3 linked regions of the Alligator mississippiensis genome follow. The protein of the gene in region 2 purifies or fractionates together with the protein of the main gene of each other region. This does not show direct contact. Links are inferred from orthologs where the notes say so. Each region holds a gene or a part of one and is shown on either strand. Other genes may lie near its edges.

Evidence for each region. Proteins that work in one complex are often made in the same cells at the same time.
Region 1: the proteins of AXIN1 (region 2) and GSK3A purify together in Homo sapiens (affinity purification with mass spectrometry; 12 studies listed by BioGRID and IntAct, with this or other methods). This does not show direct contact. The link is inferred for Alligator mississippiensis from reciprocal best matches to the Homo sapiens genes AXIN1 and GSK3A.
Region 3: the proteins of AXIN1 (region 2) and DVL3 purify together in Homo sapiens (affinity purification with western blotting; 3 studies listed by BioGRID and IntAct, with this or other methods). This does not show direct contact. The link is inferred for Alligator mississippiensis from reciprocal best matches to the Homo sapiens genes AXIN1 and DVL3.

Annotation. Positions count from the first base shown.
Region 1 is NC_081838.1:30,772,715-30,780,524, reverse strand, and holds the start of GSK3A (glycogen synthase kinase-3 alpha), read left to right. Parts: upstream 1-4,797; 5' UTR 4,798-4,812; coding exon 4,813-5,062; intron 5,063-5,769; coding exon 5,770-5,957; intron 5,958-6,036; coding exon 6,037-6,120; intron 6,121-6,485; coding exon 6,486-6,596; intron 6,597-6,677; coding exon 6,678-6,808; intron 6,809-7,013; coding exon 7,014-7,120; intron 7,121-7,195; coding exon 7,196-7,293; intron 7,294-7,810. Other genes in the region: ETS domain-containing transcription factor ERF, read left to right, coding at 907-1,141, 1,322-1,437, 1,743-2,797. UniProt on the Homo sapiens protein: Constitutively active protein kinase that acts as a negative regulator in the hormonal control of glucose homeostasis, Wnt signaling and regulation of transcription factors and microtubules, by phosphorylating and inactivating glycogen synthase (GYS1 or GYS2), CTNNB1/beta-catenin, APC and AXIN1.
Region 2 is NC_081836.1:22,316,796-22,324,597, reverse strand, and holds the start of AXIN1 (axin-1), read right to left. Parts: upstream 3,008-7,802; 5' UTR 2,794-3,007; intron 210-2,793; 5' UTR 124-209; coding exon 1-123. UniProt on the Homo sapiens protein: Component of the beta-catenin destruction complex required for regulating CTNNB1 levels through phosphorylation and ubiquitination, and modulating Wnt-signaling.
Region 3 is NC_081830.1:83,882,418-83,890,185, forward strand, and holds the start of DVL3 (segment polarity protein dishevelled homolog DVL-3), read right to left. Parts: upstream 3,014-7,768; 5' UTR 2,943-3,013; coding exon 2,776-2,942; intron 1-2,775. UniProt on the Homo sapiens protein: Involved in the signal transduction pathway mediated by multiple Wnt genes.

The DNA of each region.
Region 1 (7,810 bases), on a different chromosome or scaffold from region 2:
CTTGCCCCCCCCCCCGTACCCTCCTGACATAGGGGGCATCAGGCTCCAAGGGGGGGGTCCAAGGGGCTCCAAGGTGGGGCATCAAGATGGGTCAAGGGAGGTGGGTTAGGTGGCTGATTGGCCTTCTGGAAAATGGTAGTTCCCAGCTTCCTGTGGATGGGGGGGGCTGGGTGCCCCAAAACTTGGTGTGTCCACAGAGACATGCCCCTGGGGTGGGGGGGGCTCCGCTGGGGATCCCAGGGGGCTGTGTGCATTGGTAAGGGGGGGTCCCAGGCTGCAGGCTAGGCCCAGCCCCTCTCCCCCGCCCCCCCCCAGGAATGTGGCCGGGGTTGGGCGGGCGCCTGGCGCAGAGAAAAGGCTCCTTGTCTGGGAGGCGGTGACCTCAGCCGGCAACCATCCCACCCGCCCGCTCCCCCTGCCCACCCCCCACCCCACCCCCGCCAGCGGGGTTGGGGACCACTGGGGGGGGCGCGCCTTGGGTCTGGGGACACTGGGTCAGGAGGGGGGTGCTGCGGGTTGGGAGCGAGGGGCACCAGCTCTTTTGGGGGGAGCTGTGGGTTGGGAGTGAGGGGCACCAGTTTAGTCTGGGGGGGCTGCGGGTTGGGAATGAGGGGCACTAGTGGGGCTGGGGGTCAGGAGTGAGGGGCACCAGCTCTTCTGTGGGGGGGGAGGGTGGGTGGCTTGGCACTGGCCCTGGGCTCAGTTAAACCGGTTTCCTGTTGCCCCCCAGGTGGGGGTGATGTGCACACCTTGTGGGGACCTGGGGGGGTTAACCCTTCGGCTCCCGTGCCCATGCAGAACCCAGAACCTAGGCATCCAAGTCTGCCCCTGGGGGGTGACTTTGACCTCTCTGGGAATAGCCCTTAAAGGGCCAGCAGCCTCTACCTGACCCCCGCTGCCTCCCAGGCTTCGCCTTCCCGGACTGGGCCTACAAGCCAGAGTCGAGCCCGGGCTCGCGGCAGATCCAGCTGTGGCACTTCATCCTGGAGCTGCTGCGCAAGGAGGAGTACCACGATGTCATCGCCTGGCAGGGCGACTATGGCGAGTTCGTCATCAAAGACCCGGACGAGGTGGCGCGGCTGTGGGGCGTGCGCAAGTGCAAGCCCCAGATGAACTACGACAAGCTCAGCCGGGCGCTGCGGTGAGTGGGGGAGAACCCAGGTGTCCCAGCTCCCCGGGATCCCTGTGCTGTAGCCCCCCAGCCCCCACAGCTGACTTGGAGAACCCAGGCACCCCATGTGCCCCAACTCACTGGGCTGGCTGAGGTCCCTGGGGTTTGGGTGTGGTTGTGGTGCTGACCCCTGGTCTGCCCTCCTCCCAGGTACTACTACAACAAGCGCATCCTGCACAAAACCAAGGGCAAACGCTTCACCTACAAGTTCAACTTCAACAAGCTGGTGCTGGTCAACTACCCCTTCATCGACATGGGCATGGCCGGTGAGCGGGGGGGCCAGAGGCGTACAGGGGGCGGTGGGCTGGGAGTGAGGGGCACCAGGGGTGGGAGCAGGGGGGTTGTGGGTCAGGAGTGAGGAGCACTGGGTGGGGCAGGCTGGGAGTGAGGGGGCAAAGGGCTGCAAGTTAAGAGTGAAGGGCACTGGAGGGGAGCAGGGGGTGGCAGGTTGGGACTGAGGGGCACCAGAGGAGCTGCAGGGCTGAAGTGAAGGGCACTGGGTAGGGAGCAGGCACCAGCAGGTCACGAGTGAGGGGTTGTGCCCTAGCTCACTGCAGCTGTGTGCCTGCAGGTGGGCCTGTGCCACAGAGCGCGCCGCCAGTGCCGTCGGGTGCCTCGCACTTCCGGTTCCCGCCAGCCACGCCAGGTGAAGTGTTGTCACCAGGTCCAGAGGCCCCGCGCTCACCGGGTGTCTTTGCGGCCGTGGCACGGCGCCTGGCCCGCGGCTCAGTCAGCGACTGCAGTGATGCCGCCTCGGCCGCCTCGGAGCTGGAGGAGCCTCTGGGCGAGGACCCACGCCGCCCACCTGGCCCCGACCCCTTCCGTGGGGGTCCCCCACTGCCCACCCACCCTCGCCTGGCACCTGAGGGGCTGTTCCGCGTGTACCCCCGCCCACCGCCCCGCGCTCCCGAGCCCCTCAGCCCCTTCCCTGTGTCGCCGTTGGCTGGGCCAGGCGCCCTACTGCCCCCACAGCTCTCACCTGCCTTGCCCCTGACGCCTGGGCATGTGCCGTTCACACCCTCACCCACCCTCAGCCCCATGTTCCCCGGCGGGTCCCACTTCTCCTTCAGCCCGGAGGACATGAAGCGCTACCTGCAGGCGCACACGCAGAGCGTGTACAACTACCACCTCAGCCCCCGCGCCTTCCTGCACTACCCTGGCCTGGTGGTGCCCCAGCCCCAGCGCCCTGAAAAGCCCCCAGATGAGCCTCCTGGCGCTGCCCCCTTCAAGTTCAAGCTGCAGCCACCACCCCCTGGGCGCCGCAAGGCTTCTACTGCTCTGTCCGAGCCTGTCCCGGCACCAACCCAGCCACCGCCACGCATCAAAGTGGAGCCGGTGTCCGAGGGCGACTCAGAGGAGGAGACGGTGGAGGTGACGGACCTGAGCGAGGATGATGAGGATGTGTTCAAGGCGCCGCCCGCCCCTGAGCCACCCGCCCCACTGCCACCCCCCACACCTGCTGCTGCTGCACCCCCTAAGCTGCGCTTCAAGCGGCGCTGGAGCGAGGACCGGCGCCTTGAGGCCTCCGCGCCCACCCCTGCCGATGACAAGAAGGCCAAGGCCGAGCCAGGGCCTGAGCTGCAGCTTGCCACAGCCCAGCTCTCCCTGGAGAACCGGGACTGCTAGACCCCCTCCTCACTGCCTTATTGCCCCACCCTGTGCTGGGGGGGAGCCTTTATACCCCTCTCACCATTACTGGGGGGGTTGGGGGGCACATCGGGGACCTCTATGCCTATACATATATAAATACCTATAGATATCTCCTATTTTTCAGCCCCCCCCCCCCCCCCTGCATGGGGACTGCCCCCCCTTTGTTTATAGTGAACTTGCTGCCTTGTTTTAGGGGGTCCTGGCCCCCCCCCCCGGCCTTTTTTGGAAGCACAAGAAGCAATTTCCTCTCCCCCCCCCCCCCCCCCCCCCCCCCGTCAGGCCCCTTTTCTGCAGGGGGGGCCATGTGCCCCTCTCGGGTCTGCAAGGCCTGGGGGGTTGTGGGCTGGGCTCCACCCCCTTACATCTCCCCCCCCCCCCACTATTGATCTCGGGGTTCCCTGCTGGAAACCAAAAATCTGCCCCTGGGGCCGGGCCGTGGCCCCCCTACCCCCCCCGGGGCTTTCAGGGCTGTTGCAAGTGCCTGTGCTGTGCTGGGTCCAGGGGGCCGTGCCACCCCCCCCCCCACACACCCTGGGGGGGACCTGAAGTGACTTCTTCCCTTGCCCCCCGCCCCCATCTTGCCCCCCTAGGAACAGAGAAGCCATTGACACCCCCCGGGTTCTCCCGCCCGGGGTGGAGATCCCCCCTCATCTGGGGGGCAGCGGGGACCCCCCACCTTAGTGACCTTGTTGTACAGAACCGGCCGCGGCTTCTTTTACGAATGTATAAAACCCGCGAAAAATAACCAATAAACAGTGATTTGGAGACTTCCGGTACGGGTGGTGCTGGGGGGGCCGCGGGGCGGGGGGGCGCCCAGCCCGGGGCGGAGTCCGGCTGCATTAACCCCTTCCTGCCTGGCGGGGCCCGGGCGCTGGACAGCCCACCCAGGAAGGAGAAGCTGCAGCTGGGCCCGGGCTGTGGGAGGCGGCTCTGACCACCAGTCCTCACTGCCCTGGTGCCGTAGGGAGAAGCCAGGTGTGCCCCGCTCTAGGTGCACAGCCCTCCCCCGGCTCTGGCACTGCCCCAAGCCAGAGCGTCCGGGGCCCGCCCTGCCCCGCCACATCCTCCCTGCGGGGAAGCTGGGGGCGGGGCGGGAAGCCGCGGTGGGCGTTCCCCCCGCCGGTACCCCTCACTCCGGCCGCGCTTTGCGGGAGGACACGGAGACGGGAGGAGGAGCGGCGCGCCCGGGGAGCGCGCAGAGCAAGGGAGCGGGGACGCCTCGCGTCGCTCCGTCCTCACGCAATGCCTCTTGGGAGACGTAGTCAACCCCCCACAACAGCTGGGACTACATTTCCCTCGTCGCGCCGTGCAAGCTGGGAGCTGCAGCCCCCTTCGGGAAGCGGCTGGACTCCCCTTCCCGCCACCCCTTGCGGCTCTCGCGCGCTGCGTGCTCGGAGCCTCTCCATTTTGCCTCCTCGCTTTCCCGTCGGCCCCCGCGGCAGCACGTGACGTCACTGGCAGCTCACGAGGGTTCCTGCGCAGACACCCTATTTCCCAGTCTCCATTTCCTGTCAGTCCTTGCAGACGCCTACACCCCCCCCCCACACGCTCCCAGACTCCATTTACCGGAATCCCTCGCGGCATGCCCACCTCGGTTTCCGGTCACATCTCTCCAGTGCATGCGCAGACCTCCACACCCTCCGCAGCCCATTTCCAGTCACTCACAGGCGTACATGGTATCTACCCCTCCGACCTGCGGGACTCCATTTCCCAGCGTCCCCCGGCTTCACTCCGCCATCACGCCCCTCGGACACATGCGCACACCTCCTCCTTTTCTACCTGCCGGACTCCATTTCCCGTCATGCACAGATACTCCTATCTACGCGAGTCCATTTCCTTCCGCCCCCTGCCTCATTCTCCCATCACTCCCCTCGCGCGCATGTGCAGATGCCTCATTCCCTCCCTCTCAGGGACTCCATTTCCCGGCCGGCCCCGCCCGCGCCTGCGCCATTTGTTGCCCCGCCCTTTCCCGCCGGCGCTTCCGGGGCCGGATGGACTCGCTTTCCCGGCGGCCCCCGCGCGGGGCGGGGCGGGGCCGGGCCGGCGGCTGGAGGCGCCGCAGTCGCTCCGGCCTCGCCATGAGCAGCGGTAGCGCCGGCCCGTCCCGCCCGCGCGCCGGCTCCTTCGCCGACGCCGCCCCGCCCCCCGCGGCCCCGATCCCGGCCGCTGCGGGGGGGGGCAAGGCCGGGCCCGGGCCGGGGGGGGGCGGGGGCGCCTTCCCCGCGGGGGTGAAGCTGGGCCGTGAGTGGCGGCGGGGCGGGAGCTCCCATGGGGCTGGGGGCTCCTGGGCCTGGGGGCGGGCGGGTTCCCCATGGATTTTGGGGGGCTTGGGGGTGGGGCTGTTTCCCCTAGACCTGGGGGAGGGCGCCAGGGGGGGTTCTTAGGGGTTGGGGGGCAGGCGCTGGGCTGGGGGGTCCCCTAGATCTTGGAGGCTCAGGGTGGGGGGGCTGGGTCCCTCGACCTGGGGGAGGGGGTGGAAGGGTCCCTATGGGTTTAGGGGGGTCAGGGAGGCAGGAGGGGCAGGGCTGGGGGGTCCCCATGGGTTAGGGGTTCGGGGCTGGGAGGGAGGGGTTCTTTGGGGGAGGAGCCCAGGGCCTTGGGGTTTAGGCTGGGGGAATGCTCCCTGTGGGGGGGCTTCCAGAGCGATTTGAGGAGGTTTCTCTATGAGCAACAGGTCCTGGGGGGTCCCCCCCTGCACTGGGTCAGGGTTGGGGGGCTTCGTGTTTCCTAGGGTTTGGGGGTTATGGTCTAAAGGTGCCCAATTGGTGGGGGGGCTTTAGAGGGTTCTCCAGTGTCCTTATTGGGGCGGGGGATGGGGCTGGCTGGGAAGACAGGCTAGAGTTTTATGGGGGGGGCAACAATGCATGCTCCCACGTGGGGTTCACACCCACCTGGGGGGGTGGCAGGTCTCAGCCCTCGCACCCCTGACCCTGTGCCTCCCTACATAGGGGACAGCGGGAAGCTGAGCACAGTGGTGGCAACACCGGGGCAGGGCCCTGACCGCCCGCAGGAGGTCTCCTACTCTGACATCAAGGTGATCGGCAACGGGTCCTTTGGTGTTGTGTACCAGGCACGCCTGGCCGGCTCAGGTGAGCTCGTCGCCATCAAGAAAGTGCTGCAGGACAAGCGCTTCAAGGTCAGGCATGGGGCAGGGGACTCCCTTCCCCCCACCCCTGGGACCCCCCACTCACCCTGACTCTTTGCCCCCCCACCAGAACCGGGAGCTGCAGATCATGCGGAAGCTGGACCACTGCAACATTGTGCGGCTGCGCTATTTCTTCTACTCCAGCGGGGAGAAGGTGGGGGTGCTGGGGGGGACAGCCTGGGGAGGGAGGGGCAGGACTGTCATGAGCAGGGGCGGCAATTTGGTGTAGGGTGGGTTGGGACTATCAATGGGCCCTGGGGCAGTTTGGGGCGGGGGTGGGGCTGGGACTGTCATGGGCTGGGGAGCAGTTTGGGACTTGTCAGCGGGGGGGGGCAGTTTGGGGTATAGTGGGTCAGGATTTTTGGGGCAGGGTGAGCCAGAATTGTCAGGGGAGCGGGGGACTGTGGAGGAGACCCGGGGTCCTTGGAGGGCTCTGGGGAGCCATGTTGCTCAGCTAGGGATGCACAGGGGTGGTGGTGGTGGGGGCATCCCAGGGGGTCTCACCCCCTGTCCTCCTAGAAGGACGAGGTTTATTTGAACCTGGTGCTGGATTTCGTGCCGGAGACGGTGTACCGCGTGGCCCGGCACTTCTCCAAGGCCAAGCAGACCATCCCGGTCATCTATGTCAAGGTAAGGTGGGGTCAGGGGATGTGGGGAGAAACTCCTTGCCCCCCCTCGCTGTGCTGACCGCCCATCCCCTGGTGCCCACAGGTCTACATGTACCAGCTGTTCCGCAGTCTGGCCTACATCCACTCACAGGGTGTCTGCCACCGCGACATCAAGCCCCAGAATCTGCTGGTTGACCCTGACACGGCTGTGCTCAAGCTCTGCGACTTCGGCAGGTGACGCCCAGCCCTTTGTGCGAGGGTTACTCCCCACTGACACTCGTGCCCAGCCCCTTGTGCAAGGGTTCCTCCCCTATCATGTCAGAGGTGGTATGAGAGCCAGGCCAGTGGGTTGCCTCCCTCTGCTCCCCGTGGCTGGGCCCCTGTGCAAGGCTGTGGCTGGGCCCTTGTGCTCTGGCTCATGGCCCCGATTCTCCCGCAGTGCCAAGCAGTTGGTGCGGGGCGAGCCCAATGTCTCATACATCTGCTCCCGCTACTACCGGGCCCCCGAGCTCATCTTTGGTGCCACCGACTACACGTCCAACATAGGTAAGAGCACCCCCATCCTGCCCCTGCCTGCCGGGCTGGGAATCCAGGCATCCTGATACCCTGCCCTGTCCACAGATATCTGGTCGGCGGGCTGCGTGCTGGCCGAGCTGCTGCTGGGGCAGCCCATTTTTCCTGGGGACAGCGGTGTAGACCAGCTGGTGGAGATCATCAAGGTAGGTGGAGAACTGAGGCATCCGGGTCCTGTTGCACTGCCAGTACCCAGGTGCTCATCCTTTCAAGCCCATTCCTTTCCAAGAACAGAAAGAACCCAAGCATCTTGCTCGCCATTTCCCTCCCAGAACCCAGGAATCCAGGCCCAGCTGCCCGTTCTCCTGGGCCCTGTTCCTTTCCAAGAGTAAAAGGAGAACCCAGGCATCTGGGTCCCCGTTCCCTTCCTGGATCCCAGGAGTCCAGACTCCCAGCTGCCTGTTGTGGACCTTGTTTCTTTCAAAAAGCAAAGAGAAAACCCGTGTCTGGAGTTTTTAGTTGCCCGTCCTTCCAAAGCCTATTCCTTTCCAAGAACAGAAAGAGAACCCAGGAGTCCAGGTCCCCATTCCTTTCCCAGAACCCAGGTATCTGGGATACCAACCTGGACCCCGTTCCTTTCCAAGAGCAGAGAGGGAACCCAGGCATCTGGGTCCCTGGAACCCAGGCATTCAGGCTCCTAGCTGCCTGTTTTCCTGGACCCTA
Region 2 (7,802 bases):
GCTAATTGGCCTTGGATCTGTGGCAACTAGTTCACCTTCCTCACCAGGGACTGGTGGCCTTGGAGCATCTTCAGTAAAGCTTCCCCCAAGATCCAAAGGGAAACTTTTCCCCTGGACATTCATGTTTGTTTACATGCACAGGAACAAGGACAGAACAGCCTAAGTCTCAAATCCCCACTGTTTGTATTTCCAACATGAACGTGTTTATCCTGGTGAAATAAATGAGAACAAAGTTAAGAGATATTGCATATTCTAAGAGATATCCTAAGAGTCTGGAATGGCTATTTCTGCTTCACAGGATTATGTTCCTAGTCTTCCTCTTGGTACAGTATTCCAGTACTCCTGAATTTCTTATTATTGAGTTATCCAAATTTTAAAACCACCATGAACAATCCTCAAACATGGTTGTAGATAATTATGTAAATGGGACACTCAATTCACTTTTTCAGTGTGCATATTTCATTATGAAGTTTAAATTAGAAAAAAATATAGTGTTTAGTCATGCAAAAATAAAACACCAGGTAAATTCATGTCTCCAGAATGGTTTGGAATTTCTTTTGGGGCACATGGGACGATTCTGAATGTATTTCCATTTGGCACTTAAGCCAGGAATATAACTTAATCAAGTGTAGACAGCCTTCAATACAATCAGTTGTACTTACAATATGAACTGCCTCTACAGTCCAGCAGTTTTTGAAATGCGCTGCATCATCTTATCACATTAATCAATAAGCAATTTGAGTGGTACGAATATTTGTGGCACCAGAATAATTATACCAGAGCCTTTAATAAAATTAAAATCCTAATATGCTGTCAATTCTAGATATTTTACATGGTATCTAAATTAAACTTTTGCAACAAATGAGTATATTCTTATAAGAACTACTAATCTTTTCTTATATTACATGGAATGAAAGGTATTTATTGATGGTTCATTTAAATACTATTTGCTGCAGACCTGAGAAAAATTCAAATCATCACCTCAAGTTGTCTTGATGTTTAAATGTATCGTTTTTTTACATTTTCCAAAAACGTAATTTGAGAAAACATGGCATAGAGAAGATGTATGTCAAGACGTACATCAAGGTAACAATTTCAGGTGATGACTTGAAATTTTCTCAGGTCTGCAGCAAATAATATTTAAATGAAACATAAGTAAATACCTTTCATTTCATGTAATATAAGAAAAGATTAGTAGCTTTTTATAGGGAAGGAAGGAAAAGGATGGAGATATAAAAATGTAGATACCTACTTTGTATCAAGACAATACAATTTAAATCTTCAAAAAACACTAGTAATCGCAAAGACCTGAGTGCTATAAAGCTACAGCTGTCTAATAAATCACTTCTTCAAACAAAATCTTAATTGCACATGAAAATATACCAAGGAAACCATTCTGAAACAAGCCCCTCATGCAAAGATCACCTCCACAGATGAATAAGTCTTTCAGACACATTTCCATTTCCTTTGCTCTCAACTGGCCTTAAAAAAGAGAAGACTTCCTCAATGCCCTGAACATCCTAACAGAATAAAGTAGGAAACAACATAACAAACTAATTAATTTTTAATGTCTGAATAACTGCATGTTTCAGCTATACCTATCTGATCATGGGACCAAGCAATGTTTTTACAACTACTGGATTAAAACAAGCATGAACATTCAGTTGCTATTCTGAGGCTTTTCTTAACACCTGTAACCAAGTAGATCATTTCATGCTAGGCCATGTTTGTTGTAAATTTCTCACCCAGCACTAGAGCAACGGAGGTCACGGAATTAATTTGATTTTCACAACAAAGATATTCAACATAATGATATTGTAGCCATTTCATTCAGAGGTGAACATCACACTCCAGCTGACATAAGCCATGTTGCTCATTGTTGCAAAAACAAAACAAAAAAGGCTCTGTTCCTCACACCTGAAGAAGCACTTGGCATTTTACCTCTAGAGGATAAATAACATCAAAGGACTTCTGGAAATTGCCAGTATAGATGGATCAAAATAAATCAAGGAACATCAGATTAAAAAAGAGTACAAGCCAAGGCCCAGGTCCTGGAAACTGTTCTACACAGGTGCTGTGGTCTATCTGTTCCATTTACACCTGGGGGTGGAGGCCTCGGTGCACAAGATTCGCATTTCCACCACAGGACTTCATAGGCAATTATCATTCTCTGACAGCACTCATCCTGAAGTTCTCCCAACCAAGAGGTTTCCATGCACCATTTGGCGCTTAGCCTGCCTGCCTGTTTCCAGGTAGGTAGTTCCAGCAAAGGAACTACACATCGGACGCCGATGGGGGAGGGAGACGATGGTTATGCCCGAATAAACTGCTGTCTCTCCGGCCACTGACACAAGGGGAGCTAGCGGAGGGCGGCCGGGCTCAGGGCTGCGCACACCGCCGCGCCAGGCAAGTTCAGGGGGCGCGACGCAGAGCGGGGCAGAGCAGAGGCCGCGCGGCCCGGCTCCCTCGCCGCACGGGCCGACGCGCCGGCCCTGCAAGACCCCGGCGCCGAGCGGCGCCTCCAGCCCACAGGGCCACTCCCGGCCCCGACGCCGGCTCCCCACAGGCAGGCCGGGTCCCAGGGCCAAGCGCCTGCTCGGCCCGCTCCTTCCCGGCGGCGGCGCCCGAGTCCCCAGGCTCAGGGCGGCCTAGCGCCGGGCGCGGAGCGGCCCGCTGCCGCCAGCCCCGCGCCACAATGGGGCGGCTTGCGCGGCCCGGCCCCGCGGCCTCGGCGCTTGGAGCTGAGGGCCTGCGCTGCGCTCCGCAGCTACCTCCCGCCCGCCGCTCACTCACCCGCTCGGAGCAGCAGCTGCAGCGACGCGGGGCCCGGCCCATGCGGCTCAACAGTGGCTGCAGCCCGGGGCCGCAGGCGGCGACGTCCGCGGGGAAGCAGCACAAAGCGGGCAGCCCGGGACCCCCATGGCCGCAGCCGCTTGCTCTGGCAGCGACACGGAGAGCAGCGAGCCCCGCGCCGCTCAGCTTGCGCCGCTGCCTCCCGGCGCCCGCGAGCGCTCCGCCGCGCCCCCCGCGCCCCCGCCCGGTACTGCGGCCTGCACCGCCGCGGGAAGGGAAGGGAAGGGAAGGTGCGAGGGGTGGGGGTGCGGGCGCGCGGCCCGAGCTGCGCGACCGCAGCTCCCGGGGCCAGCGCTGGCCTGGAAGGAGAAGGGTAGAGCCTGAGGCACCGGGGAGACCCAGCCCCAGGTCCGGAGGGAGCTGACTGACAAACACTGCTACGGAAACGCGGGCAGACGGCTCACTTGCGCAGCTGTGCTCTCTGATAGCGGCACTGAGGCGCTAAGAGGAACAGCTCTGACATTTGCACTGAAAGGGATTCCGTCTTCTTTTTCACACCTTAGCGAGCAAAATGCGGGCTCTAAATGTGCTCTGCCGAGACGAGGTCAGTTTCTGATATCATTTTTAAAAGAACAAAAAGTTCCTACGTTTTGCAGGAGAAACATTTAAAACTTCTCTTTTTTTAAATCTGTCCGTAATGGTTTTCTCCCTGTTCCCGGGTCTTGTAGCTAAGCAAACCCAAGTCACATGACCAACACTTGGCTAACACCTCAGACATAAACTACTTGAAAACTTAAAATGTAATTGCCCTCTTATTTTTCATAACCTAATCAATCTCCACAAAGAAATGTTAGGTCCATCAGCTTCTTCCTTTTTCTGATGCTAGTTGCAGTAGCTGCAAACTCTCTGTTTTAGATATCCTGGCCTTCAACTCTTTTCTGCCCCTTCAATCCTAGGCCTGTACAAAAGGTCTAGAAGTAAGAAGAAGTAGAGGCCATGCTGTCAACGCCCCCTGGGGATTGTAGTTTTCTCCCAACCATGGGCATCTCTGATGTGACTTGTGGTTTGGAGAAGGCACAGACCCATGCCTAGGGCCTGTTTCTGGAGCTACATGATTACACCAAAATGTCAGCTTTCATCAACATAAAAAGTAAACATCTATCATTCCTAGTTTGAAAACCTGACCAGCATAAGTGATACCTCCCCAAGTCTACGAAGAGCCCAGGCCATGAGCACGTGGATGGGTTATGCCACAAGAAGTCACATCCTGTGTTCAAAAAGCTGCAAACATGATGCAGTCCTTAAAGAGATGTGCCCCACCACCCCAAAATAGGCAGGGGCAATTTAATGACACATTTACAACCTGGGCTACTTGTCTCTGTGCAGCTGCCAGTGTGATTTGCTTCAACTATGTTTTCAACTTCTACTTTTCTTTCATACCCTATAACCTGGGGCAACAGCTGTGAGACAGAGTATTGCTCTCATACTGTGTTAGCTCCAAGATCCACCGTTCAGGGGGCTGGTGGGGTGAGGAGGTAGCTTACTACATTAGCAAATATACCACAGGTCCTGGGACAAGTACTTAGGGAGAGAACGGGGACCCATGCTGCTAGCACTGCCTTACTGGATGGGGCAGACATTACTGCCATACAAATGGAGGGTGGGACCAATGGGACCTCCCATTGACCTAGGATCCAGACTGCCTTTCCAACTCTGTCTGTCTGGGAACATGAGGAACCCGGTTGTATTAAAACTCAGTTGTCAGGATCCACAAAAGAAAGCACCTAGTCTTTAGGACAAAATAGGCAATGGTATAGGTCTCTTCAGAAGACAGGGCTGTTTGACACATATTGGGAACATGAGCCTTATGCTCACAGAGCAACAGTTCTCCCCCGCCCCCGTTAATAGAAGGGGCTATTGGGTATGTGTTAACTGAATTTGTGGGACAAAAGACAAAACAGGAACGGGAGTGAAGGTCAAATGTTCAGAGTAAATGCACCAAGGGGGCACACTAAGCAAGATGTGCTGGACAGTGCCCACTGGCCCTCATATGAGTCCAAGGAGCCAGCAGAGTAGATACTGCCCAGTGAAACTCTGCCTAGAGACCTGAATGGACCAGAAACAGGAAGATGTCCCTGCAGTCCCTGGGGGTCACCTCACCCAGAGCCTCCTTCCTGATCAAGTAGATTGCTAACTTGGCTAGGGCCAGGAGGAGGCTGACCAGTAGGTCCTGGGACTTGATGGGACCACAGATGAGGAGGGCATAAATGAAAAGGTGCAGGGAGTAGTGAGGGAGCAGGAGATTCTGGAGGAGGTGGTGAAGGGACTGCAGCCTGGTGCATTCAGGTTAGGCATGTCTCAGGGTCTCCCTCTGCTCACAGAAGGGGGAGGTGTCGGGGGTATGCATGAAGCATGTCAGGTACATGCCTGTGGCAACAGTTCCATGGAGGAGCCACCAGCTGAGATCCCCAGTGGCTCACAGGATCAGGCTGGAATAGAAGCTCGTCCATCAGGGATCCTTGTCCTCACTGAGGGTGTCTCACCACATAGTTTCTGGGCAGGACACAAGGACAGGACGATAAAGGGTGCAGACCACGAGTGTGTAGATGTGGTGGCAATGGGTTGCCCAGCCTTTAGATGTGTCATTCCAGATTGTGGGTCAAAGCCCACAAGTAAAGCTATAAGCCCCACTTGATTGGGGGGGGCACACTAAGGGCACATCGTGGATCTCTTGGGACAACTGAAAAACAAAACAGGGATGGGAGTGAAGGGCAGAAGATCAAAATGAGTGCACCAAGGGGGGACACTGAGCAGAGCACACCAGACAGTGCCTTGGTCCTTGAACAAGTCCAAGGAGCTAGTGGACACTGCCTAGTGAAATTGCCCGGAAACATGAATGGACTAGGGACAAGAAAGCAGCCCCATAGTCCCCAGGGGTCCTCCCAGCCAGAACCTCCTTCCTGGTCAGGAACATTGCCAGCTAAGCTGGGCCTGGAGGAGGTTGACCAGGAGGTCCTGGGACTTGGTGGGACCATGGATGGGGAGTGCATAAATGAAAAGATGCAGGGAATAGTGCAGCCAGGCCCTCAGCAGAGATTCTGAAGGAGGTGTTGGAAGGCCTGCAGCCTGGTGCACTCCAGATAGGCATGTGCCAGGGTCTCCCCCTGCTTCCTTTGCCTGCATTGGGGGTGTCTGTGAAGCATTACAGATGCTTACCTGTGGCAACAGCTCTGTCGAGGTTCCATCAGCTGAGGTCCCTGGTGGCTCATGGGATCAGGGTGCAATACAGACTCATCTGTAGGTGTGGTGGGGAGTTCCTTTTGGCCTGCCCAGCAGTGGTGACATGTAGGGGGTGCACAGGGGTGCATGTGCAGCCCCTGAGAGTGCTGGTGCACCCCCTGACAGCCACTGTTCCCCACTTAGGCGAAGGGCCGGGAGGGTGGGGGGGGCAGGTGAGAGCACTGCTGCCCCACTAAAAGTGTTGGCCGGGGATAGGTGTACCAAGAGGAGCGATCCCTGCGGTCCCTCCGTGGCCAATTGTGCTGACCCAGAAGTGCCAGCACGCTGCTGGCACTTTTGGGTCAGGGCGATTACCACCCCCGGTCACTGACTGGCTGCTGGGAAGGCAAGTGACCACCGTGACTCAGGAGGCACCAGTCACCTATGCTACCTAGGCAGGGATCCCACAATGAGTCCCAGGGGGCTAGGAGATGATTCCCTCATGCAGGACCTAGTCAATGTAGGCATTCAGCAGAAGACATGATAGAGATGCACCTTATAGAGTAACAAAATCAGACGTGCATAATAGGGCTGTGTGAAACAGTGCTGTTCTGCTTCGACTTTCGTTTCGACGTTTTGATGGCACAGTGTTTCATTTCAAGTCTTGTTTCATTTTGAAAGCACTGTTCCATTTTGTCAAAACTGTTTTGCTGTTTCGGTGCTGTTTTGACATTTCGCCCACCCAGTGCTGGGAAGATCAGTGCTGCTGCTGGCCCCAGCCGGCAGCACCAGCCTCCTATCATCCAGCAGACAGATCGGGGGCCTGCACTCCTGGGAGCAGTCCGGCACAGCCCCTGCAGCCCTCCCTCAAGTTTCGTTTAGTTTTGAAAGCACTGTTCCATTTCATAGAAACCATTCTGCTGTTCCGATGCTGTTTCGACGTTTTGCCCACCCAGTGCCGAGACGATCAGTGCTGCTGCTGGCCCCAGGTGGGAGCACCAGCCTCTGTCATCCAGCAGGCAGATCAGGGCTGCCCACACCCCCAGCATGGCTGCGGGGGCTGTGCTGGACTGCTTCCAGGTGTGCAGACCCCCAATCTGCCTCCCGGATCGCAGGAAGCTGGTGCTGCCGCCTGGGGCCAGCGGCAGGCAGGCCTGGGGCAAATCAGCTCGTGCAGGGACCTGACCCCACCCCAGGACCAGGTGGGGGCAGGACCCCACACAATCCGATTTGCACCGGGCTGCGCACCCTCCTCAGGCCAGCTCCAGTACGGGGTCCCAGGGATATCAGGGGGCTGATCAGGGTGGCAGCGGGTCTCTGCATGAACTGATATGCCCTGGGCCCCTACTGGAGCTGGCCAAAGGAGGGTGCGAGGCCCAGGGTAAATCGTGTGGGAACCCTCCCCAACTCTGGCATCAAGGTGGCAGCAGGTCCCCACATGAGCTGATTTGCCCTAGGCCTGCCTGCCACTGGCCCCATGTGGCAGCACCAGCCTCCTGTGATCCAGGAGGTAGATCGGGGCCGCCTGCACCCCTGGGAGCAGTCCGGCACAGCCGCCGCAGCCCTCCCGGGGGTGTGGGCAGGCCCCATCTGCCTGCTGGATGACAGGCGGCTGGTGTTGCTGGCTGGGGCCAGTGGTGAGCTGTGTCCAGAACCATCCCAGGTGGCAGGAACAGCCTCATGTGATTTGGGAGGCCGATCGGGTCCCCCCACACCCCCAGGACAGCTGCGGGGCTCTGCTGACTCCTCCCAGGGGTGCAGGGGGCCTGCCCTGATCGGCCTGCCAGATG
Region 3 (7,768 bases), on a different chromosome or scaffold from region 2:
CGATTCTCCCTTGGGTACCTTTCAAGGATGCGGCAGGGTGCCATACCACGTTAGCACGGTTAGGTTTATAAACATGATTCACAAGATAAACCCAGCGATTTCAAATTGAAACCCGCAGTTGTGGGCTGTCTCTGTTCTTTGCAACATAAAAACTGCTTTATTATTTTTCTTTAGGCAAAAAAAAAGATTGAAAATGAAGAGCTGGAATTTCCAGAGGGTGCCTCGAGTCTGCAAAGGCTGAAAACCACCCGTCTAAGGACTTCAGGGAATAGATGGGAGAAAATAAGTACTTGAAGTCCCATTTTATAGAAGAGGAATTGAGAAATTAAGTGGTCAAGAAAGGGAGTCACCTGGGAGAGGTATAGCAGAGCTGGGAATGGGACCCAGGCCGCATGAGCCCCAGCCTAGTGCTTTCACCCCAAGACCATCCTCCCCCTGACCGGCAGGAGCACTGGGGACACCCGAGAGCAGTGTCATTCAACTCCTGAAGACGCAGACAAAGTCTGCAAACCAGATCGCTGGGCTCACACCCACTCCACCACGACTTGCTGCCATTGCCCCACAGTTTGGTAACAGGCAGGGAACAATCACGTTTACGCCACGCTGATGGGCTCAAGAAACACATCGTCTCCTCTCTATTTAAACCTCCCCTCCCCACAGTTTATCAGGCAATTGTTTTCTTGGGTTTCTTTTCTACAAGAGACACCACTTTGGGGTCCACGGGTCAAGGCTGAGCACCCTTCCCTTTGACTAGCGTTAGCTTCCTGAGCAGCCTCGCACCCCACACTCAACAAAGCCTTGGCGCATATTTCTAAGGAAACGTAAAGCCTGAAGCAGCATCGCTGTTACCCTGATTCTCGCAGCCAACAAATACGGACGAGAGAAACAGCAAGGAAAGCCCACGGGCTGCGATGGCGGCCGCGCTGCCTCCCTGGGCATGGGAAGAGCTGACGGGAGCTCCCAAAGGAACACCAGACCAGTTGTCCAGCCTGGAGAAAAGTGAGAAAGGCAAGATAATTAATCAGACCCAGGCCGAGGACTGGGGAAGAAAGGCCAGGGCTCTATTATAGCAGATAAAAGCTGCCTCTGGGAGAAGGTAAAACGCCTCCATCCCGAGCGATGGATCTGCAGAGAACTCAGCCTCGTCCCACACGAGGTTTGGGGGAGCTTTGCTCTCAAATCAGTGGCCAAAGTTTCTACTTTCTCTCCGGGCAGCTGCCACGGGACCTCCAGGTGGACGAAACGTTGCAGCTGCTCAAAGGGGTCCTCGACGCAAACACCTTTCGAGACGTTTTCCCACGTTCTCCCTCCACGCGGTGCTGGGGAAGGGGGCACTTCGGGGAAAGCAGCAGACTGCCCGGCAAGAACCGAAGCGCTGCAACCGCATGCAGATACACCGTGACTCCCGCAGCGACTCTTAATGTCGCTGCGAGATCTCCGCAAAACGTTATGATCCTGCCTCCCCATCTAGGTTGGGGAAGGAAGACCCCTTCAGTTCTAGCTCTCCATAGTCCAACGCAAGACTGGTCCCCAATGGTTTCTGGTTTTGCTTTTCACCGCTAGCCACCAAACCTCCTCAAGCAAGAGGGTTCCCACCCCCTCCCTGGAAACGATCCCACAGGTGCATGGGTCTGGCGGTCTCCTTCTGCCCCGCTTGTTCCCCTGTCGCTTCTCTGAATGAGTAGGTCTTCTGTTCTGCACAGCTCGTTTCCAAAATGCACCCCTCCAGGTGGAGCTTCCCCTCCCGGCTCCAGACCACCATGGCTTTCCTCCATGCCTGCGATACCTGGACAAAACCACACTGCCCGCTTTAGTCCACCCAGATCACACCGCAGACGTCATCTGATGCGCCGCTCACTGCCTTGGTGCCCCTCATCCGTGCCTGCTCCTTGACTCTCTCCCTCTCTGGGAGGACCAGGGGTTAAGGTTATTTTCCCCAGATGCATTATCTGCGTTTGCCCATGCCGGATCCGATTTCATTGTTTTCTGCCCGTTCCTAATCTTGCCGAGTCTCCGTCTCGTTTCCCTGCCCTCCCTGGTTTCTGCAGCTCCTTCCAGTTTTGCTTCACCTGCAAATTTCATTCATCTGCCATATGCCTCCTTTTCTAGACCATCCGTGAAGCTATTATTTTTTTTTTTAATTTAATTTGTATCACCGGCCAAATCAGCCCAGGCTAATTCCAAACGCGAGACGTGTCCCTGCTACCGGCAAACATCCTCCGCCCGCACCCGGGGCTTCACACGTTCCCAAATCCTCTGGCGGGCGTCCTACGCGCAGGCCCAAGCCCGCAGGCGCGGGGTTCGATGCTCGCCCGCAGCCGCGCGGCCCCGGGGACGAGACTCCCGCGCCCGTAACCCCTGCAGCCCGGCGGCTACCGAGCCACGCGGGCCGGGTCGGGGACGCAGACGCACACGCACGGTATTTCCCCTGCCGCGTTACGAAGCCACGGCGCGTGTCCCGAGCTGCTGAAGGAGAGCAGGACCTCCACCCGCCTGCCCCTTCCCCACACCCGCTGTCTACCGCTGCCCTCGCTTTAGGGGGGGCTTCACGGCGACCCCACAGGACGGGCCGCGGCCAGCCCCGCGCGCGGGGGTCGTGCCACCGTGGCGGAGCGCGGCCCCTCGGGGATTGGGGCCGCCGAGATGCCACCGAGCGAGACCCCGCCAGCGAAGTGAGGCGGCTTCTCGGGGTCCTGGATGCGCAGCGCCCGCAGGCCCGGCCCCGCCGGGACAGGCCGCAGCCCCGGGCTTTGTTCGCGGGCCGCTCGGGCTCACCCGAAATCGTCGTCCATGGACTTGAAGTAGAACTTGTAGTTGGGCCGGTTCAGCAGCCCCTTGAAGTCGCCCAGCGTGACGCGCTCGGCCGGGATCGGCAGCTTCACCAGGTAGGGCGTCTCCTGCTCGTCCAGGTGGTAGATGATCTTCGTCTCGGCCGCCGCCATGGCGCCCCCGGCCCGGCCCGGCCCGGCTCGGGCTCCGGCCCCGGCTCCCGGCGCCGCGCAAGCTCCGGCCGCGGCTCCGCCTCCCCCGCCTCCTCCGCGGGGCGGGACCAGCACGAGCGGCCGCGCCGGCCCTCGCTCCCACCCGCGCCCGCCGGGCCTGCAGCGCCGCCCCCAGCCCCGCGCCGGACTCGCTTTGTTCCCCGCCGCCGCCGGCCGCCGCCCCGCCCCGCCCCGCCGCCACGCGGCGACAAGGGCCTCCACCCACCCGCCATCCTCCCACGCGACGCGACGCGACCCCACGATCCGCCACCTCCCGCGCAACACGAAGGGCACCCGCCACCCGCCCGGCGCCACCATCCTCCACCGCCGCGACACCACACCACACCACGGTCCGCCACCTCCCGCACAGCACGGAGGTCCCCACCCGCAGCACGACAACAATCCCCCACTGCCAACACCACACGACAATCCCCCACTTCCAACACAACGCGACCATCGCCCACTGCCAACACAACGCGAAGATCCCCCACATCCGACACAACACGAAGATGCCCGCCGTGGACGTGAAGAGCGCGGCATGCATCATCCTCGCCGAAGCCCGTGTTGCCCGTGACCCTCAAGCTGGACACGGTTTGCGAATGTGCACCGACTCCCGCAACGAGCGCTAACAGCCTGAGATGTCGGGGCGGCCGGAGGAAACGCCACAAGGACACGCTGAAGAGGGACCTCAAGAAAACATGCCGACATCAAGACCCGGGAGGAGCTGGCTGCTGAGGGACTCCCATGGCGCGGCAACCTCAACCGAGCGGCTGCCCGTGTCGAGGTAAAGCGTCCTGCCCTTGAAGCAGAGAAAAAAGCAGAAGGGAAAGGAGAGAAATTGTGGCCTACAGCCTACTGTCTCCAACAGAAAAGCCAGCGGCTCCTGTAGACAGGTCTGCCACTCAATGACTGAACTCAAGTTGCCTCAAGACCCACCAGCGAACCACGGCGGTGAGCATCCTTGAATCGAGGGGTTGCTGACAAGTAGGAGACGTTTTCATCCCACGGCTGATCTTCCGTGTGCACAGCACAGGCGGGGAAACTTCACTGCCCCGTTGGAAGCCTTTATTGCTAGCTAGAGAGCAAGTCTTTCATTGTCCCAGGCTTGCACGGTGCCTTCCAGCAGGGCCTGGGCAGTTGGGTGCAAGGCAGGCAATGTGACAGCCACAGGCTTTTGGCTCGCCTCCATCACCCCAGTGCAGAAGCTTGCATTTCCTTGGAGATCTCAAAACAACAGCGGTCTCCCTGTGCCTGAAGAAGGGTGTTGGTACCCAAAAGCTTGCAAAGAACAGGCAGAGGGAGACTGCAGGTCTGAGATGTCCAAGGAGTGAAAGAAGCTAAAAGTGTGACGGGATGTCAGTACGGGATTGTAATTCCCACCTATTTGCAATCTCGTACTGACATCCTGTTACGCTTTTAGCTACTTTCACTCCTTGGAGATCTCAGACCAGCAGAGCCCCCCGTGCCTGAAGAAGGGTGTTTGTGCCTGAAAGTTTGCAAAGAACTTCTTTCCAACAAAAGATATCACATCCACTCAATGAACCTTGCCTGCCTGCGTCCTTAGACCAACACGACTACAACCGAAAACCCTGAAAGTTGCATCCTTAACCAAGATGCAACGGCAGTGGCTTTTGAGTGCTTAAATACAGAGCCAATACAGAGAGAGACTCCGCTGCCCGCAAGTCTTGCAAAGTCACCGAGATAGGAGCCAACGAAACCGGCAGGAAAGGATTAGGCGAAGCAGCCCCATGCAACCGGACAGTGGTTCTCACTCTTTTTAGACCCCCGACACCCCTCAGAAAATGCCAGTTTTTAGTTTTCACTTTTTTTTTTGACTGTGGAAAAACAGAAGTGCAGTTTTTCTGTTGCTAAGAACTCAGAACGGACACACGAGGCCAGCGTGGTGTCAACATTATGAATTCCTATCTGAAATCTCTGCATTCATCCTGTGAAGGCAGGGCAGGGATGCACCTTACACACTAAACAGGAGATGCATAAGCTTGTGCGAGTCTGAGCTGACTCACGAAAGCTTATGCAACTCCGGTTTAGTCAGTCTATGAAGTGCATCTCTATCCTGCCTTTTGCCTGACTTCAGACCACCACGGTTTGCTACCTCTATTTTGTGAATCATGTCTGCACACCAACGCTAATATCGCACGGCACGCCACCTTCCAAGGATCTCAAGGTACCCCGGTGCTGCAACACCCCGCTGGAGAATCGCTGCTGTAGCTTTGTACCTGCATTAAGAAATGTTGCAGCACCACCGAGCACGACCGCTTCTGCCGTTACACTCAGCTATAGGCTAGGTTCAGGCATTTCAGATCATTTGAGCCCAGTTGACTTCCTTCCCCTTGGGCAGGGGGGTTGGACCCCACAGTCTCGCAAGGTCCCTTCCAGCCCTGATATGTACAAAATCTATGAAATGTTTAGCACAGCACAAAAACCTGCTCAGCCCAGTCCCAGATGCAGTGAGGTGAATAGGCTTAGGCTCCAGCACTTAATTCTTTAAACGAAGCAGGGATGTCCGTCTAAAACATACGTTGTCTTTCAAGCAGAAATCATGGGCCTGATACAGGACCCAGCAGGTCAGTTCTGATCTGTTGTAGATGGGCTGTCAGACTAGATGACTGCACTGGCCTCTTTTGGCCTTAAAAAAACCCTCAGGGATCCACCACTCACATTGGTCTTAAAAAAACCCCAGCACGTTTCACTGCAGTGTCAAGGCTTCTTCCTCCAAAGCACTGTTTGCATCCATCCGACTCACTTCCGAATCAGCCATACAGATCATTGGGCCTGTCCCGCTCTTCAATGCTGTCATCAACTCTCCATACGCACACAGAGAGAGGTGTCTATAGATGCACACACGTATGTCTATATACATCTAGACACACACATGTTTATGTGCCATTGAGCCATTTTAACACACCACAGCTCTGGCTTGGAGGGTGTCAAATATGCTACTTGGTCTCTGTTCTGAGCAACGTAGCCAGAGATTGCCACGGTGGGAGGGGGGGGACCCCATGCAGAAGAGACTCTGGGGGGAAGGACAAAGCTTCCTCACGTAGCGACATTCTTAGCCCTTTGAACCTCTACCTTAGGTATGTGCCTGCAACCCTCGGGTCAGATGGTGGCTCACAACACGGAGATCTTGGCCACTTGAGAGCAGAGACCTCAGGCTGTGGAATGCAGAACACACAGAAAGCAGAATTGTTTGTTTCTTGGCACAAAGACTCCAGAGGCTCTGGCCAAAACAAGCCAGTTACGGAATTACAGACGAAACCTTCTTTTTAACCTTCTTTACCCTGTAAAAAAAAAATTAAAAAATACTCAAGATGTCCAGGGAGATTTTCAAACTCCTGAATCGCGCAGCTGGCTGGTAAACACTTTTGAAAAAGGGGTTTGTTACCCACCTCTTCCCCAGCAGGGTATGGCGTACGACATACTTTAATGCGCAGTATGGCAGGGAGGATCATGCTTCGGCCAGGATTAAAGCACATCCTTTTAACTTGTTCTGAATAAACAGGAGCCTCACCCACTGCAGGAATCTAAAGTGCCGGAGTTTCAACTGGGTGAGCTCGTTTGCAATTCCTAATGGTAACACTGCTGGATAGGATTGAACACCTACCCCATGCCACCGGCGTGCTCATTTTATGCCTGTTATAAGCACAACTTTGGATCGTTTTGAAAAATAAAGTGGCAACTGTTGATCCTCCGGGATTCACAGTGTATGCATGAGGGCCACCCAGGTCTTCGATGCATATGCTTGGGCAGGAATTTTTTTTGGAAGAGTGGAGGTTGCCCAGACCTTCCATCCTCCCTTCAGGCCACTGAGACAAAATCCAAAGACCAGATGTTTGGTGCCTCCATGACTGTAGTTGCATGAGCATCTAGGAATTGAACCCAGGTCTCCTGTGCGGTAGACAAGGATTCTACCACTGAACCACAGGGGACTCCTGAGAAATAAGGTAGCTATGGGTTATTATGGAGAAGTCTATAGCCAGCAAGATCAGAGCAGAACTCACAGGTAATGCCACGCTCAGAGACACATACTCAAACAGCTGATTCTTTATACCAGGATGGTTTTAATCGCTCCCTGAATTAAATATTGGCAGATACAGAAAGTTCAGATACCGACTATTTTCCCGACGTTTACAAGACTGCGTTCCAGTGTCAGAAACCAAGGGCCTTCAGGCACAGTCTAGATATGCTGAGCGCTCAAAGATCACCCCTTCCCAGTGCTCGTGTGTAAGAGGCAGCATTCCCACCCTCCACCAGCGCCTTGCCACAAATCCATGTGGCACCACTGACCCAGAACACATGCCAAGTGAGCAGATCCAATGCATCTCCCCAAGGGATCTATTCAACACTCCTCTTCCTAAAGGGATAGTGGCAAGGTAAGCATGTTCGACATGATCTACAGACAATTGTAAGCTGATTCTCTGCTCCGCTCTTGGTGGAGAACAAGGTAGGAAAGTAGCACAGTGACATGTACAGAAATGCTGCTCTTCAGCGCTCTATTGCTAGCATGGGAAGATGGTGCAGTAGAGGTGGGCTGAAAAAAAGGCCGCCTTCATTCCTGCTACACACCCAAGACTTACCTTGGGACTCCTAGGTTGGCAACCCCTTGGAGAACCTTTCATTCTTCTTCCCTCCAATAAATAAATAAATAAATTAAAAAATCCCACTTGCTCTGAGTGTGTGGAACAAAAATCTTGTAGGGAGACTCAAAAATAGAATACTACTACTTAAAAGGAAAGCCCTTTCCTCACTTCATACTAGAACAGAGC